Cricetulus griseus: one gene and its partner. Each later gene encodes a partner of the first gene's protein in a complex. Links are inferred from orthologs where the notes say so. Each region holds a gene or a part of one and is shown on either strand. Other genes may lie near its edges.

What was found. The genes of interacting proteins can lie anywhere in the genome.
Region 2: Wrap53 (region 1) and Nop10 share a complex: the UniProt entries of both Homo sapiens proteins name them as parts of the telomerase holoenzyme complex. The link is inferred for Cricetulus griseus from reciprocal best matches to the Homo sapiens genes WRAP53 and NOP10.

What each region holds. Positions count from the first base shown.
Region 1 is NC_048600.1:83,418,847-83,423,085, forward strand, and holds the start of Wrap53 (telomerase Cajal body protein 1), read right to left. Parts: upstream 2,804-4,239; 5' UTR 2,747-2,803; coding exon 2,673-2,746; intron 1,448-2,672; coding exon 1,052-1,447; intron 930-1,051; coding exon 831-929; intron 74-830; coding exon 1-73. UniProt on the Homo sapiens protein: RNA chaperone that plays a key role in telomere maintenance and RNA localization to Cajal bodies. Specifically recognizes and binds the Cajal body box (CAB box) present in both small Cajal body RNAs (scaRNAs) and telomerase RNA template component (TERC).
Region 2 is NC_048599.1:66,084,254-66,086,859, forward strand, and holds Nop10 (H/ACA ribonucleoprotein complex subunit 3), read right to left. Parts: upstream 1,360-2,606; 5' UTR 1,272-1,359; coding exon 1,218-1,271; intron 966-1,217; coding exon 825-965; 3' UTR 595-824; downstream 1-594. UniProt on the Homo sapiens protein: Required for ribosome biogenesis and telomere maintenance. Part of the H/ACA small nucleolar ribonucleoprotein (H/ACA snoRNP) complex, which catalyzes pseudouridylation of rRNA.

The DNA of each region.
Region 1 (4,239 bases):
CTCTGGGGGCAGGTTGTAAATCCGCAGAGTGTTATCAGCACTATTGGTCAAGATACAGGAACCATCAGGAGCCCTAAAAACATAGGGAAATTAGAAAACTGAACAGACCTATGATTTCCAGGTGTAGGTCTAGAACTATCTTAGTACATATGCCCTTGAGAAGACACCAATCAGTCCTAGGTAAAACTTCAGCTCATGCGGAGAGTGGTGGCACACAGCTACTGAGAGACTGAGGCAGAGGACCTCAAGTTCCAGGCCAGTCTGGACAACTTGGCAGGGCCGTATCTCAAAACAAAGCAAAAAAAAAAAAAAAAGTCTAGGATGTAGCCTACTGGTGAGGGTCAGGCGAGCATGATGGACACCCTAGGCTAAATCCACAGTACTAGAAATGGAAGGAAAGATCGACAGGACAATGAAAAGAAAAAACCCTTAACCTGGGTACTAACCAGTATTCTTATTCCTTAACCACCTCCAGATAAGTATGTTTGTTTGTGTTTTTGTTTTTTGTTTTTTTTTTTTTTTCTGAGACAGGGTTTTCTGTGTAGCCCTGGCTACACAGAACTCGCTCTGTAGACCAGGCTGGCCTCTGAACTCAGAGATCCTCCTGCCTCTCTGCCGAGTGGCATGTGCCACCACCACCCAGACTAGTTTTTGTTCTTATTTTAAGACAGGGTCTCTCACTCTATGGACAAGGCAGACCTCCAACCCCCAATCCTCCCTGTTTCCAAGATGTTGAGATTACAGGGCTGTCCAACTACGACGGGTCAAATACGGGTGGGCTTTAAGATGAAAACCCTGAAGGTGGTCATCTCCCTGCCCGTTGTACTTACCACTTACAACCTTTTAAGAAGTTCTCAGAGTGGGTGCTGAACTCGGACCAGGAACCGCTGAGGTATCGGGGTACCTGTGAAAAGCTGTAGGTCCAAAAGCTAGAAAAGAGATGGAGAACAACAAACGGGTAAGTTACAGCAAAATGGGCCTGGGGCGGAGCTGAGGACTGGAGGCTGTCGTTTTCCTATGTCCAGGCTCCTCGGACTCCAGAGTCACTTACGTGTCTCCCTCATCCACTTGACCGGGTTCTTCAGACACATCTTCCACGGCTTCTCCTGACTCCAACTCAGGCCGATTCGTTTCTGTCACAGGAAGGCTCGCATTTTCAGAAAGTTCTTGCTCCTCGATTCGAGGGCTCGACTCACCGGGAGTATTAAACCCTACTTCCAGGGGAGCGGAGGGAGGAACTAGATCCCCTTGTTGCGGATCCTGGAACACAACCGAGCCAGCCACAGAATCTGTGGCTACCTGGGGTCGGTCATCTCCACCGCATGGCGGTGGCACCGGTTCAGAGTCTGTATTTTCATCCACAGGGGTCCCTTGGGGCACTGGAGCTGGGGCCTGGTCAGAAGAGAGACTGTCCGGGACTAAGAGTCGCTCCTCCGACGTCTTCATTCTGTAGAGCAAGCTAGGAGGTCAGGGGCCGGGCAAGCCTCGTTGCACCGGCTGCCAGCTGCTGAGGCCACACTGCATTAAAGTCCCCAGGAATCCGGGTGCAGAACTGCACAGCCCCAACGTGCCTGCCTTACTCTTCCGGGAAGAGTAAGCCGAAGCCAGCAACAGTGAGCAAACACCGGGAAACCAAAGCAGAGAGCAAAGCACCTGGGGTCGCTACGCGCCGCCAGCGCTTCTTGCTCTCGCGGGAGTCGGGCCACCTTCCAATTGGTTCTCTGCATCCTAATTAGCGTCTGAGCGGTGAGGCGGGAAGGAACGAGGGGGCCCAGCCCTCAAGCGCTAGAGAATTCTTAGAGGATTCTGGGAGTTGTAGTCTTCTCTTTGACTTGGAGAAGAGTACACGCGTTCCCCCTACCGTCCGCTGGGGTGATTCTTAAGGTACCTTCCCTCCATGACCTGCAGAGGGCGCTGAATTTCTACAGTTTTGCCCTTCTTGAATCTCGTTTTGAGTCGGGCAACCTCAAAAGATTTCCTTTCTCCCTCTCTCCCTCTTCTCCCACTCTCCCTCCCTTCATTCTCCCATCCTGTCCATCCCACCTCCCTTCCTTCCCCCCTCCCTCCCTTCTTCCTTTCAACATTTATTATCACGCTCTTACTTCCTACCCAGCAGCATACGAGGAACTAGAGAAAACAATTTGCAAATTCTCTATGCCCATAAAATTGTCGTGGCTGTGCAATTGAAGGCTGTGAAAACACTCTCCACAGATAGTGATAAGGACTGTACAGGAAATTAAACAAGATGGTGTGATATGAAGTATCTTGGAGAACACGTTAGATTGAGATATTAAGAAAAGCCTTTCTAAAGTGACATTTTAGCTGGTGAGAAAAAAAAAAAAAAAAAAAAACCGCTGCCCGCGTTGGCTCATCCCTATACGTGGGAGGCTAAAGCAGTTGGGCTGCCGCGAGTTCGAGGCCAGCCTGGCTATAAAGACACTGTTTCAAAAAGCCAAAAAGAAGACGACTCCAACTATACAGCTAGATCGGAAAGAGCAGTGTTCAGCGCTCTTCCGAAGCGGTTTCCACCAGTTTTGCCCTCACAGCTCCGTCTTAGAGTACTTCTCACAAAGCGATCGAATGGATGGCAACAACGCAGAAAGAATCCCGGCTGTGTAACTGCCCCTCCCCTCCGCTTCTTGCCCTCCACCCACAGAATGGCTTGCCCTTACTTGTCATGGCGACTATCCAGCTTTGTGCCAGCAGTCTCGCGAGGAATGCTGGGATAGGGACTTTCCCCTCCCATGTGCTCCTGAAAAGTTTTGTGCTGGAGTCTACCATCCTGGCTGCAGGTAGCTATTGGGATCAGGGGGTCCCTGGCATCCGGGTCCGGAATCTACTTCCCAGCGGGGTAACACGCTCCCCCCTGAAGACCTGGTAAGTTACCGGGTGAGCCTGATGAGTCCTCTCTGAGTCACCGGCTCTCGGTTCGCATAATTGGAGGCTAGAGAGAATCGCGGGGTTTGGGGGGTGGGGCAGTGGGGGACTCAGCAGGTTGGGCGAGGTGGGGTGAATGGAAACTTGGCGGGCGAGATGACCATGAATACAATCTTGAGCATGATGTAGATGAATGTAGATGGTGGGGATGCTAGGACCAAGCAGCCGAACACCTGAGAAGAAGTACATAGAGAATTTGGGGACCACTGAGCCGGCGCTTTTCTCCCCGCCACACACTTATCGACTAGCTGCTGGGTGGTGGAAGCCCCAGGAATAACATGCACAAAGCACTGTGATGTGAGATCTTTCAAGATTCACAGCTTAAGACTTTAGAGCCCCTAGCATCCTAATGAAATCTCGGGCTCCATTCCTTAATTAAATCGGGGTGATCCGGGAAGTCCTGCTGTTAAGGTCTCCAACTTCCGGACCTTTGTTCCTGGAGTGATTTTTTTTTTCCAGCCCCACCCCAACCCTGCTAGTCGAAGAAAGTCCAAAGAAAAACTGTCAGTCTCGCTAGTGAGAAGTGTTTGCATTTGTGGCCCGAACTAATTGTCTGGATCTGAAAGGCCCGCCGACCCTGTTATTGTTTGCATTTCTGCCGCTTGCAGGAGCATTTCCGGTTTTTCCGGAGCAGCTCATCGATCACTCGACCAGAGGGGAGTAGGAATGGGAAAAAAAAATGTATTCCTGGCTGGTGCTTGAGGAAGGGAAACTGCCACCCTCGATCATCGCATTTTCCTGGATTACTTCGTTATTACTTTTGCAGAGGAGGAGGTGTTTATTTAATAGAGTGTGGGAATAGGTCGTTTGTTCGTGCCGGAAAAACAAATTACCGAGTATCCGGTCTTGGGGTGAGCCATTCCCTTGCTGAACGCATTCCTCACGTCCTGAGAGCGGAAGGGGCGGGCCTTGGCCAGGGGCGCCCAGAGGTCCTAAGTGCAGTCGGCCAGTACAGGACGATTCTTATAATGGCAAGGCTGCCACGATATACATATTGCCTGCTACTGCATCTTCAGTCTGAAGAGCAGGTCATTGTATTGCAGTTTCTTGTTGAGCACCAGAAATTGTGCATGTCTTTTTCTTTTCTTTTTTGTAAAAGTACTATTTCCACACAGCACTTGGGAAGGGGAATAAATTTCTTTCCCTCTGAAGGTTTAGTGATTTTAGTCTAAAGAATAAGTGAACAATAGATAGGAAATTTTCTTTTCGTGGCTTCAGGTAAACTCACAGGAAGACTAGAAATTCAGGTTTACAGAGAAATGTACAAATGACTACCCTTAAAGTTTTAGACTGGAAGGGAAC
Region 2 (2,606 bases), on another chromosome or scaffold:
CACACACACACACACACACACACACACACACACACACACACACACACTTTTCTTTTTCTTTTTTTTTTTTGGGGGGGTTTTTTCGAGACCGGGTTTCTCTGTGGCTTTGCAGCCTGGCCTGGCACTCGATTTGTAGACCAGGCTGGCCTTGAACTCAAGAGTTCTGCCTGCCTCTCTGCCTCCTGAGTGCTGGGATTAAAGGCGTCGCCACCACCGCCAGGCTCCTTCCCACTCTTAAAATTGAGGAAAAAAACAAAAACAAAAACGAGGACTAAACAAGTTGAGTGCCTTTACTCCTTAAAGAGGGGGTAACAGTACCAGTTTCGTAACTGCCAATTAAGTCTTTATGCCTTTATTATTCTTTGAGGAATTCGGAATGTTATTTAAAGGGGCCACAATTTACTCCAGGGACTGGAGTATATTTTCAGTGAACGCTGACCTTTGTAGGAGTCTTTCTCAGCCTTTCTTCCCCAACACCCTAACACTCATGGCGCATTGCTACTTCAAAAGTGAGGGCTTACCATTGTTCTCAAGTGGCCTTGTACTAGCAACGGCACTACACTCCCCCATCTTTCCCTCCAATCACACACAAAATGAACTTTCAAGACATTGTCTCTTTAATAACCTGGCAGTAATTCAAAGCATAAAAAAAAAAAAAAAGTTAAGACTGTTCCTTTTACAGGCGATGCCCATCACGACAGACTCAGTCACGTAGTAAGATAGGATTCCAAACAGCATGGGAAGGCTTCACTGCTCACGGACTGACGCCTTTGGTTATTGATAATCGGCCTGGGGTAGGGCAGCACATGAAAATTAACGAACCCTCAGAGAACAGGACGCGGTTGCTGGGTCATGAGCACCTTGAAGCGTCTCTTGATGGTGATTCGGTGTCTTGAGTATTTGTCGTCAGGGGAGAACCGAGCAGGATGGGCAGAGCAAGTCTGTTGTCCCATAGGGTCAAATTTCTGCTCGAGGAAAAAAAGAAAATGATCTCAATACATGAGTGGTGTGCTAGCAAGGGGACAACAAGAAAATGGGAAAGCTGAAGCCAGGAGACGCGGCGGTCAGAACAAGAAGTCGTGCAATGCCGGCATCTACCACGTTTCGGCCCGGACGTGGCTCCAAGCACCCGGCTGCGCTGGCCGGCGGCCGGTTCCAACTGTTCCTCCCACCTAAATTTCTTGTCCTCCCGACTTACAGCTGTTTTCTCCCCTTACCTTCAACGTATAGACGCGATCGCCCTGCTCGTTGAGGTAATACTGGAGAAACATGACTGCAACTCAGCACGAAGATCCTCACTCTTCCGCAGCCAGGCGCGTTTGCCTGGAATACACCGCCTCAACCGTGTTCGCCAACATCCTTCCCATCTGACCGGAAGTCGGTACAAGGCATGCCGGGAAATGTAGTCCATTTCTCCAGTCATATCCAGTTGACCAGAAGGGGGCACAGTGGAGCAGAACTTGGCCTTGGTCTTCCCAACTAGCTACAACCTTGCAAAGTTGCCTTGCAAAGAGCCATGGAATTGCCCACTGTGTGCCAGGGACTCCCAGACGTTGGGAGGTAGGGATGGGTGTGGGTTAAATGTTGATGCATCCAGTCCTGTCTTTACTCTCAAATTGCTCACCCATTTCAGAGGCATTAGTTTTGTAGTTCCTGGAGAAACAAGGGTTCCAGGATACTCAACCTCCTATATCCTAGGGAAGATGTAAGATTTTTTTCAGACCCCCACTTTTACATCCGGTTCCCCGCCCCATTTCAAAGTGTTGGCGGTAAAGAGTGCATGATGGGTATTCGATATTATGCAAAGCGAAAAGAACGTAAAGGTTTTCTTATGAAACTGGTGAATTTTGTTTTAGAGGCTGCACCAAGATTCAAACTCAGGACCTGACCACAAATTCATCTCTTTCTTACATGGTGAGTAGCGAATAATATCACAGTAAGGTAACTTTCTTGGAGTATTTCCAGTTTTTCAAAGATAAAAAGTCTTATAAGAGTCTAGTTTAGAAAAATTAAAATTAAAACCAAGATATTGCAAAATGACCATTGTAGCACTATTCATAGTGGCAAAAATATTGTAACATATTAAATTTATAGCCAGAAAAACTTTAGTTTTTTTTCTCTTTTTTTCTTTTTTTTTTTTAGTAATGAATATAGTTGGTTTACTTGTCGTCTCATAAGATATATTAAAAAAAACTAGGGAGTTTAACACCGGCTTGTAACCCCAGAAGTCCGGAGGCTGAGGCGGAAGGATCTCTAGCAACCAGTAGGTTCAAGGCCGACCTGAGCAGTATTCGAGCAGTAAGACCCTGCTTTAAACTGAGAAACAAAAAGCCAAACGGTGTGTGTGTGTGTGTGTGTGTGTGTATGTGTGTGTGTGTGTGTGTGTGGTGTGTGTGTGTGTGTGTGTGTGTGTGTGTGTGTGTGTGTGTGTACACGTGTACACGTGTACACATGCACGAGATTTTGCGAGGGGCGGGAATGTACTAGAAACAGTTAATATCGGCATCTTCTGGCTTGGAGGAGGATTTGGTTACAGGGAAATGGATGGAAAGAATGCTTGCTGCTGCGTATTTTATTTTGCATGCCCTGGGTTTTTTGTTTGTTTT